Linked DNA regions of Elephas maximus indicus. The protein of the gene in region 2 purifies or fractionates together with the protein of the main gene of each other region. This does not show direct contact. Links are inferred from orthologs where the notes say so. Each region holds a gene or a part of one and is shown on either strand. Other genes may lie near its edges. The genes, in order: USP50, NLRP3 and NEK7.

The links.
Region 1: the proteins of NLRP3 (region 2) and USP50 purify together in Homo sapiens (affinity purification with western blotting; 3 studies listed by BioGRID). This does not show direct contact. The link is inferred for Elephas maximus indicus from reciprocal best matches to the Homo sapiens genes NLRP3 and USP50.
Region 3: the proteins of NLRP3 (region 2) and NEK7 purify together in Homo sapiens (affinity purification with western blotting; 9 studies listed by BioGRID and IntAct, with this or other methods). This does not show direct contact. The link is inferred for Elephas maximus indicus from reciprocal best matches to the Homo sapiens genes NLRP3 and NEK7.

What each region holds. Positions count from the first base shown.
Region 1 is NC_064830.1:51,392,767-51,396,518, forward strand, and holds the start of USP50 (inactive ubiquitin carboxyl-terminal hydrolase 50), read right to left. Parts: upstream 2,900-3,752; coding exon 2,847-2,899; intron 1-2,846. UniProt on the Homo sapiens protein: Deubiquitinating enzyme that removes conjugated ubiquitin from specific proteins to regulate different cellular processes. Regulates the inflammasome signaling pathway by deubiquitinating 'Lys-63'-linked polyubiquitination of the PYCARD/ASC adapter protein.
Region 2 is NC_064820.1:233,753,180-233,756,931, reverse strand, and holds the start of NLRP3 (NACHT, LRR and PYD domains-containing protein 3), read right to left. Parts: upstream 2,724-3,752; 5' UTR 2,502-2,723; intron 1-2,501. UniProt on the Homo sapiens protein: Sensor component of the NLRP3 inflammasome, which mediates inflammasome activation in response to defects in membrane integrity, leading to secretion of inflammatory cytokines IL1B and IL18 and pyroptosis.
Region 3 is NC_064836.1:5,886,713-5,890,464, forward strand, and holds the start of NEK7 (serine/threonine-protein kinase Nek7), read left to right. Parts: upstream 1-1,531; 5' UTR 1,532-1,797; intron 1,798-3,752. UniProt on the Homo sapiens protein: Protein kinase which plays an important role in mitotic cell cycle progression. Required for microtubule nucleation activity of the centrosome, robust mitotic spindle formation and cytokinesis.

The DNA.
Region 1 (3,752 bases), on a different chromosome or scaffold from region 2:
ATGAGAATTTAATTAAAATGCAAACATTCCCACTATACTTAGGTCATGAGGGTTAGATTAAAATGCAAACATCCCCAATGTATAGTTAGGTCGTGAGGAATAGATTAAAATGCAAGCATTCCCACTATAGTTAGGTGGTGAGGATTAGATTAAATGAGGCAATCCTTCCTTTTTTGCTGGGCAAGTAAATTATTGTTAGTAGTAACAATAATAATAGCTAGTAGTTAATTGTAACAATAGCTATCATTTATTGAGCCTAGCATTTTGTTAAATGTTTAACATGCATTTTCCCATTTAATACTTACAACAAATCTATGGGGTAGGTACAATTATTTTTAAGTTTAAATCCCATTTTACAGATGAGGTATCAAAATGGTTTAGTCATTGGCCCCTGCTAACAGTCTAAGGAGTGTGTAGTGGTATATAGAAAGAGGGAATATCTTATCTGTCAGACTGTCAGTCGGTCAGTCTCTCTGTGTATATATCTAAGTTATTTGGATTTATATACAGGCAGTCCCCAGGTTATGAGCGAGATATATTCCTAACTGTGCCTTTAAGTCAAATTTGTAAGTCAGTAACAGGTGCATATGGTTCTTATTTAGCCTTATTGATGATATAAAATGATTTAAAAGCTGCACATACAGCAAGTGAAGGTGATTTGTGATGATGAATTTGTTGCGAGTAGGGGTTGGTTCAGTGTTTCAAAGTGGGGCTTTGAACCAGTTTGGTCCAGTTCGACCACCTGCTGAGAATTTGCCTTTCCACCCCAGGTATACTGAATCTGAATCTTCATTTTAAAAAGATTCTGAGGTGATTCCTATGTCAGAATCTGCATTTTAACAAGTTCCCCAGGTGATTCTTATCTCTAAAATAAGAGTCTATATAAATAAGAATCACCCGGGGATCTTGTTAAACTGTAGATTCTGATTCAGTATATCTGAGTGGAAATGCAGATTCTCAGCAGGCGGTCAAACTGGACCAAACTGGTTCAAAGCCCTGTTTCAAAATGAGGTCAAATTTACATAACTCTAAAAGACAAGTACAAGTTGTCTGCAAGTTGGATGTTTGTAACCCGGGGACTGCCTGTAGCATATATTAAGAGTATCTATCTGTTATGGATTGAACTGTGTCCCCTAAAAATGTATGTCAACTTGGCTAGGCCATGATTCCCACTATTGTGTGGTTATCCATCATTTTGTCATCTGATGTGATTATTCTATGTGTTGTAAATCCTAATCTCTATGATGTTAATGAAGCAGGATTAGAGGCAGTTACGTTAATGAGGCAAGATTCAATCTATAGGATTATGTTGTATCTTTAGTCAATCTCTTTTGAGATACAAAAGACAGTATTAAGCAGAGAGGGGAGGGACCTCATTACCACCAAGAAAGAAGACTCAGGAGTAGAGCGCATCATTTGGACCCAGGCGGGGTCTTCGTGCTGAGAAGCTACTAGACCAGGAGAAAATTGATGACAAGGACCTTCCCCCAGAGCTGACAGAGAGAGAAAGCCCTCCCCTGAAGCTGGCACCCCAAATTTGAACTTCTAGCCTCTTAGACTATGAGAGAATAAATCTTTGTTAAAGCCATCGACTTGTGGTATTTCTGTTACAGCAGCACTGTCTGTCTATCTAAGCTATTTGAATTTATATACAAGCAGTCCCCAGGTTATGAATGGGATCCATTCGTAACTGTGCCTTTAAGTCAAATTTGTAAGTCAGTAACAGGTGCATATGGCTCTTATATAGACTTTAGTGCAAGAAAAGGCTTGACTTGTTTCAATGATTTAAAAGCTGCACATGCAGCAAGTGAAGGTGATTGTGATGAAGAATTTGTTAGATCTATATATATGTATATATATAACATATGTACAAATCAAAAGCGTAATAAAATCCATAGCCGTGGAGTCAATTCCGACTCATAGAGATCCTTTAGGACAGAGTAGAACTGCCCCATAGGGTTTCCAAGGCTGTAAATCTTTACAGAAGCAGACTGCCACAACTTTCTCCCACGAGCAGCTGAGTGCTTAACCACTATGCCACCAGAGCATATATTAAGAGCATATATATATATATATATATATATATATATATACACACACACACATTAAGACTACACACACACCTAGAGGGTCAGAAGGAGAAATAGTAAGAGGATAGATTTAATAAAAAATACATCTCAGTTTAAATTCTGACTCTGCCACTTACCTACTCAAGAGCTCTTATGCCTGTTTATCATCTATAATATAATAATACCACCTGCCGTATAGGGTTGTGAGGATTAAATTAAATGATTCAAGGTACCTGGCACAGATTAAATAATAAATGTCAACATTTGTTTTAAAAGAAGTGGCTGATCTAGGATGTTCTCACAGCTCTGTTTGGCTAGGCCAGGCCTACACAGAGAGAAGAGCACTGAGGTCCCAAGGGCTCCTTCTGCCCCGGCCCCGGGCTCCTACCCTGGCCCAGGGCTTCCTTTTGTCATTTGTCATATTGCTCCAGGCAGCCCAGCAACTTTGTGCTTTCTGATTTTCCTTTCCATGCACAGTATCTAAACGTGGGCCTCCATGAGACATCTGCCTCACCTCAGCACCTCTACTTAAGTTAGCCAGTTGGGAAAGTGCTCAACTTGTACTGTCACAGAAGGCCCTGGGCTGTCACTCTTCAGGAAGCACATGTCTCTATTGCTTAGATATTAGATAACACCTTTCCTTCCTTCTCTGGGGACCTCCCATAGGCCACACCTGGGGAAACCTTCTAAATGCAGCATGTGCCCTCTGACTCCTTGGACCTTGGCTTCTGCCCTGAACAGAGCTTATCTAGAAAGCTGTAGTAGATAGGGGCTCACAGGACGTAGTAGATACCGAAGTCATCTACAGGGAAAGGCCGCTGAGAAGTCATTTTAAAGGAACCACGTCGGACTTTCGCTTTTATTCAGGAGCTACATCTAATCCTTTAAACTTCATTTCTCCGAGCCCGTTTGGCTCTTTTTGTCTGTTTTAAATTCTTCGTCTGCTCCTCTCCCCTTTCAGTAGCTGCAAACTGATTCTCATCTGCACGTTAGGTGCCATTCCAACTTAGATTTTTCCATGAATCATAATCCTCTCCATTCACCCTCAAGATTCTAACTTGTTGCTATGAGCTACTGTGACCTGGCTGTTCGAAATGCTTTAAAAAGATTCGATTTCAGAGGATAAACTGTACACACAACCTTTTCCTCCATCACGCATTTCCGTTGTGTACAGCGTGTAAACAGACGCGGTTCCCAGGTAAACAAATTTCTCCCTTGCTTCCTTTTACTTATCTGGGGAAACACTAGGAAACTGCATTTGCTTCCCATATTGCCACTTTTCAAGACACAAGACGAGTAGGCTAACCCAGTAAACATAGAAAGACTCCAGCCTATGCTTAGATTTTGAGATTTTGCTGGATGCACAGGGCCAAGAGTTGAAAAAGCACTTTGTTCCATTAAAAACATTTTTAATTAAAAATTGATGTGGGTACAAAAATCAAACAAGACAGAAACACAGTAAAAATGAAGTCCTTTCCTTCACCTTTCTATCCAACCCTTTTCTCTCCAGAGACCATACCTCTGTCCCTTCTCTTTCCCACCCTCCCCAGAGAAAATCACGGTCTCTAACTGGTATATATCATTCTCAGTTACTACTTATGCATGTCTTCACAAACAAAATACACATCTTGTGTCTTTACAATGTTTCCATAAATACAGGTTTCTTGTTTTTGACAATATCCT
Region 2 (3,752 bases):
GGAGACCCAAGGTACGATGGAACAAAATGCTGCTGCTAAGGATCAGAGCATTACGATCCATAGGGTTTTCATTGGTTGATTTTCAGAAGTAGATCTCCAGGCTTTTCTTCCTCATCCATCTTAGTCTGGAAGTGCCGCTGAAACCTGTTCAGCTTCATAGCAATACATAAGCCTCCACTGACAGACAGGAAGTGGCTGTGCGTGAGATGCACTGGCCAGGAATCAAACCTGGGTCTTCCGCATGGAAAGGAAAAATTCTACCACTGAACTACCAATGCCTCAGTTACCCTCACATGGAATGACTAAATGTTCTTCTTTTTCCGCTTCATCAAAACCCGTTTACAAGAAAAGCTCTTGTAAATCTTCAGGTAACGTTAAACTATCTTCAAATGTTTAGAGCTGAAGAGTCGTTAGAACTCATCTAATATCTTTCCTTTATAAAAGGATAAACGAAGATCTAGAGTGGCTGGCTTCCTCAAGGCTTAAACGACTAACCAGGAGGTAGGCAGTTCGAATCTGCCAGGCACTCCTTGGAAACTCTATGGGGCAGTTCTACTCTGTTCTATAGGGTCACTATGAGTGGGAATCGACTCAACGCACTGGGTTTTTTTTAAGCGCAGAGCAGCAGTCCTCAAACACATTGGTCTCAAGGCCTCTTTACATGCTCAGAAGTGAGAACTCCAAAGAGATTATAACAATAATATACACATTAACATAAACAATTCATTTTTTTTCATGAAAATGACTATGTTTTCCAAGACAAAAAATATCTAGTGAGAATAGTAACATGGTTTTACATGTTTGCAAATCTCCTTAATGTCTGCCTTAGTAAAAAAGCTGTTGGCTCCTCGGGTCTGCTTCCGCATTCTGTTGACTGCGATACCACATGACATGTAGCCTGTTGAAAATTCCGTTGTGATAGAATGAAAGTGAAAAGATACTGTCTTGGTATTATTGTGAAAATAGCTTCAGGTTTCCTAAAAGGATCCAGAGTTCTACAGGGGTCCCCAGACCACACTTTGAGAGCTGCAAGTCTAGCATAAGCAAGAGGAAGCCTGGAATTCTAGCCTCCTAAATCCCCCTCCCTGGCAATCTACTTCCGAAAATTAGCTAATGAAAATTTTATGGATCACAACAGATTGTTATCCAATATATTGCTGGAAGATGAGCCCCCCTAGGTTGGAAAAGGCACTCAAAATACACAGAAGCTGCAACAATGGATTCGAGCCTGCCAATGATTGTGAAGATAGAGAAGGACTGGGCAACATTTTATTCTGTTGTACACGGTCATCATGAGTCAAAGATGACTCAACAGCAGCTAAAACAATAATAAATCTCCCTCTGGTGCCTTTTACATCCTACTCAACTCTTAGGAGCCCTGGTGGTGCAATGGTTAAGAGCTCACCAGCTAACCAAAAGGTTGCCAGTTCGAATCCACCAGCTGCTCCTTGGAAACCCTATGGGGCTCTACTCTGTCCTGCAGGGTCACTATGAGTTGGAATCAACTTGATGGCAATGGGTTTATTTTTGTTTGGGTTTGGTTTTTAAACTACTATGCTTTATGTTACCTCTTACTTATATAAAAGAATCAAAATTTCTGTTAGGGAGACAACTCAAATGTCCATCAACTGATGAATGGATAAACACAATGAAGTATATCCATACAATGGAATACATTTTGACCATAGAAAGAAATGGAGTACAGACACATTATGACACAGATGAACCTTGAAAGCATGCTGAGTGAAAGAAGGCAGTCAAAAAAAAAAAAATCATGTTATATGATTCCATTTATATGAAGTGTCCAGAGTAGGCAAATGTATAGAGACGGAAAGTAGACTACCTGTTGCCTAGGCCTAGGAGTAGTGGGAAGAGGAGAGTTACTGTTAAAGGATACGCAGTTTCTTTTGGGGGTGATGAAAATGTCCTAAAATTGATTATAGTGATGGTTGCAGAACCCTGTGAATATACTAAAAAGCAGTGAATAGCACATTTTAAATGGGTAGACTTTATGGTACATGAATTATATCTCAATACAACTATTACCAAAAAGAAATTTCAAAATTCTGTTAGAGCTTTATAGAAAAATTTAGAGAATTTTTGGTTAGCAGCTGTAGAACCTAACCACTGCAACATCAGGGTTTCCAGAATTATGAAAGATATATTTAAATGCTGCCACGGACAGTGAAAAGAAACCATGGTCAAAGCCCCAGACATACATCCACATTACTCACATTGCTTGGCACACTGATGGGAGCTGTTCTTTTGGTTTGAACTGTTTCTCACAAGGACAACTCTATGTGGTACGGTCCAGGGTAAAAAACAACAGTGCTATATCTTTAATGCTTTAAGCCAAATAGTTTGGGCCAACCAATGAGTTGAGGGTTTTTAAGGCTTCATTCTATCACTGGGAAGCAGACTAAGGTTACCACAAAGGGGGTGGGGCTTCTGTGCTAAGACCTACAGGTTTCGCTGCCTCTCCCCCGTGTTCCAGCTCTCACCTTCACTCAGTTCCAGTTTCTCCTGTCCCCTGCCTTGGGTCTTCCATGAGCCAAAGATGATGTCCTTTGCTTTAATATAGATGCAAAAGTGCTAAGTCCATACGAGCACCCAGAATCCAGTAGCACATCAAAAGACCAAGGAAAGGGTTGGTGTGCGGTGAGATGGTCAGTTCATTCCAGAGTTGCGAGGATGTTTTACCATGAATTGCTTAACGTGATTCACTATATTAACAGAACAAACAAAAAAAATCAAGCATATGATCATCTCCATATAGGCCATATTAGTTTTCTGCAGCTATCTCAACAAGTTAGCACAAATTTGCTGGCTTACAATAGAAATTTATTATCTTATAGGTTTGGAGACCAGATATTCAAAAGCAAGGTGTCAGCAGGGCCACACTCCCTCCAAAAGCTCTAAAGCAGAATCTTTCCTTGTCTCTTCCAGCTTCTAGTGGCTCCAGGCATTCCTTGGCTTGTGGTTGCATGATTCCAAACCTTGCCTCTAACTTTTCGTGGCCTTCCCTTCTGCATGTTCCAATCTGCCTCTGCCTTTCTCTTATAAGGACACTTGTTATTGGATTTAGGGCCCACTCACATAACCCAGGATGATCTCATTTCAATATCCTTTACTTAATGACATCTGCAAAGACCCTTTTTCCAAAAAAGGTCACATTCACAGGCTCCAGGGGTTAGGACATGGACTGTCTTTCTGGACCCACCATTCAACCCACTACAACATCTGTTATTGATTTTAAAATATTCATGTATTACTGATTTCAAAGCACTCTTAAAAGTAAGATTATATGACCAAGTACATAATGTGACGATACATATACCTTTCACCACCAATAGGTACATGTATCTATTCACTGTTGTGCTGAATGAGAGACACTAGAGGCATCCCAATGAAAGATGGGAATAAGGCTATACACACCACCTCCTCTTACATAATACTGTTCTGGAGATAGTGACCTACACAATTAGATAACAGAGAGAAAAAAGAAATGTAAAAATGTAATGGAGGACATCAAATTATCCTTCTTTTCAGAAGATGTGATTGTTTACTTAAAAAATCTAAATCCTTACAAGAGAATTAACAAAGAAGTTAACAAAAAATAAGAGAATTAAAAATGCAGCTGAGTACAAAATTAATATATAGAAATCAGTAGATTTTATTTATTAAAAACACGAAAAGGTATAAAGGAAGAAAATGTATTTATAATGCCAAACAAAAATTTCAATGTCAAATAG
Region 3 (3,752 bases), on a different chromosome or scaffold from region 2:
CTTTTTAATCCTTTAAAGAAATCTTTTGCAGCAGATTTGCCCAATGCAATACATCATTTGAATTGACTGCTGCTGCCATGGGCATTGACTGTGGATCCAAGTAAAATGAAATCCTTGACAACTTCAATCTTTTCTCCATGTATCATGATGTTGCTTATTGGCCCAGGTATGAGAATTTTTGTTTTCTTTATGTTGAGATGTAATCCCTACTGAAGGGTGTAGTCTTGGACCTTCATCAGTAAGTGCTTCAAGACCTCTTCACTTTCAGCAAGCAAGGTTGTGTCATCTGCATAATGCAGGTGGTTAACGAGTCTTCCTCCAATCCTGATGCTTCATTCTTCTTCATATAGCCCAGTTTCATCGGTTATTTGCTCACCATACAGACTGAACAAATATGGTGAAATGATACAACCCTGATGCACACCTTTCCCGATTTTAAACCATACAGTAAGACATCCATATTTATGCCCATTTCAAAGAAAGGTAATTCAACAGAATGTGGAAATTATCAAATGATATCATTAATATAATTCAGGCCAGATTCAGAAGAGGATGTGGAAGTAGGCATATCATTGTTGATGTCAGATGCATCTTGGCTGAAAGCAGAGGCTAGCGGAAAGATGTTTACCTGTGTTTTGCTAACTATGCAAAGGCATTTGAATTTGTGGATCACAACAAATTATGGATAACATTGGAGAGAATGGTAATTCCAGAACATTTAATTGTGCTCATGAGGAACCTATACATAGATACTATTCTCCTTTTACAGACAAAGGTACTGAGACTAGGAGAGTTCGGTGTGGCTGACTCCATACTGCCTCCTAGCAGTCTCCTTCTGTAGAGCCAGTGAGGTTACTGAAGTACTGAGGTCACTGGGCTCTAAGCAATCCTTTAGCAACCATCTGCTATGGTTCTGGGGGGCATATATCAAAATCTCTGATACCATACCAGGCAATTCACGTTTCAGAAATGTCCTAAAAGCCACTGTCGTCTATGCTGGGACTCTTCCGTTAATACAAGGTTTGCTTAGCCAGACTTAGGAAAACGCCTTATTCCCCTCATTTTCTTGCACACATATTTAAGCACAGAGGCAGTTTAAGCCACTCGGTTAAGGACGATAGGATCAAAACGCTGTGATCCAGAAGAAGCGAGGATAACCGATTTGGTTTGCTGCCTGCAAGTGGGGCATTTAAATATAAAGGAGGAAGAAACAATTTCTTAAACAGCAGCGGATCCTGGGATCCCCGCGAAGTTGGTCCCAAGCAGAAGAGGACTATGGGGGCAGAAGGACACTCCCACACCGGGCTAGGCCTGACAACAGGAAACAATATGCCCGAAGGGGCTCCTCCAGAGGTGCTTCAGCCCAGGACTGGAAAGTCGGCGGGCTCCCCCGGCCCCCAGACCGGCCCGCGGAGGGCGCCCAGCTGGGGCCGGCGGCCGGCGGGGCGGGCGGCGCGGCGCGGCGCGCGGGGAGGGGCCAGCGCCCGCCCCGCCCCCTCCTCGGGGATGCCGGGATGTTTATCCTCCTGACAGCGGCGGCCGCGGGCGGAGCAGCGGGAGCCGCCGGAGGATGGGTCGCCGCTAGGCTCGCACTCTGGACGCGCCTCGCCGAGCGCAGGGGGGTGCCCGCGCCTGCAGCGTCCGCGGGGGCGGCGCGGCGGGAGGTGGTCGATCGGTTCCGGGCCTTGCAGGCACAGCCCCCGGCCCGGCGTGCCTCTCCGCGGCGGCGCCTGACCGAGCCGCCCGCCCGCCCCGGATTCCTCGCGGGAAGGAGAACGGAAAACTGCCAACTTCCTGGTGAGTCGCTCTTCGGGGCTTCGGCGCCCGGGCCGGCGATCCCGGCCGGGTGGGGCTGCCTGCGGCAGCCGGGACGGGAGAGGAGGGTCGGGACTGCGCGGGCGGCCTCCGGGATCCCCCGCCTGGCGAGCTGGGGTGGGGCTAGCTGCTCTCGAGCCGGGTGGGGTTTCAGTCCTGCTCGTTGGCAGTGGTGGGAGCGAGCGGTAGGAACTTCATGCCTGCCGCGGGCTCTGACGGCTCGAGGCCTCCGTGGGCGCCGCGGTAACTCAGAAACTCCGCGGCCACCGCGGCAGCGGCGGCAACAGGTCTTTGGTTTCAGGACCAGAGGAACTTAGGCGAAGTCCCGCCTCCTGCCTCCCGGCGGGTGCTCATTGGTGGCTCTGGTTATTTATCCCTCACGGATTGGCTAGGTCCAGCTGCCAGAATTCGGCAGCAGCCCGACTCGGGAAAGTGAAGCTCACTGTTGAGTGGTTAGTGGGAACGATGTTGATAGGGGAGAATCCGAAGTGGCTTGAGAAGTACTTGTGGGGGGGGGGGGGTTTGGAGTAGGGGTGATGATAGACCCTTCAGAGAATGAGTTTTATGGAGATTCAGGATTAGAAAATCTCGGAGAGGGAGATTGCCAGGCAGTAGCGAACATAGGTGATGGTGGTGGCAATGGAAGAGAGAGAGGGAAATTGAAAATAGAGGCCAAAGCCAGAGAAATGAACGGGAGCCCAAAGGATAAAAACCAGGAAGCGAACACAACGTAAAGTATGCCACGGTGAGGTTTGAAGAACTGTCGCCTCCTTCCTTTATGCTGTAGGCCTTGGAAGATGATGTATCAGATGAGTCGTGTTCTCTCATCGCTGTCGTCCTTGTTACGGATAAGTACTAAAAACATACTAATTTTAGAGCAGGCACTTCCTTCCTTGAGTAGTGTGTTGACTGAACACAACATCAGAAATGTACTACAGAAATGAAATGATTTTCCTCCTTCTCTAAGACGACTGATCTTACGGGTGCAGTTGAAAACATTAACCCAAAAAAACATTAAGTGCCCACAATTAGTAGAGCATTGTGTGCCTGTCATTATGAGAACCAATGTTTCTAATTCCTCATCCAAGGAATTGCAGCCTCAACAGGTGACAGCAATATGTCTTGTCAGGTTGCAGTGCAGAGTGTAGTACAGATTATGTGTGTTATAAATCTGTTCTGTTAAGGACCGTGTGCTGCTGGTGTGGTCGAAGTTGTACTCAAAAACTTGACGGTATGTTTGCTACAACCCGATACACGCTGCAAACGGTGGATGGTAACCCAGGATACACAGTTAACCCTGTGATGCTTTGTGACAGCTCTTGCCGATGGACACTGAGTAATCTTGGCTGTAACACCTGGTGAAAAGGTTAACCTAAAACGTAGCAGTTATTCCATTTGCAGAGGAATGAATCCGCTGCTATACTCGAGGAGATCCAGTCCGCAGTTTGCTTCGCTCATAAAACCGCAGCGTCCTCTATTTAGCCCTGGTCTGGAAGCTTGTTGTGGTTGGAAGCTTGTTGTGGTGGGGAAAGTTATTGAAGCTTTGAAAAAGCTTTTCCTCATGGAGGAGTCAAAGGGGCAAAAACTGTATGGGGCGGTCAGAGGACTACTGGCGAAATAAGAAGGCCAGGGAAGTCTTCGCGGAGGCTGACTGCTTTCTCTGCGGGGTCGGGAAGCCCGGGGACCCTCCGGGAGCTTGCGGGCCTAAATTCCGCTTTCCAGCTGGAGACTCCGCCCACCGCCACACTGACGGCTTTCACGGCCAATTGGCGGCGAGGACACCCGGTTCCTCGCTCGCTGGGGCGGGTACTTCCTGCCCGGGCCGTAGGCTCGGAGAAGGAAGAGAACGTACCCCTCGAAGGATGCGTGGAGGCCGAGCAGCACCTGCCCGCGCGGCAGCCTTGTGAAATAAACGCGTGGCAATAAAGGCGTGAGGG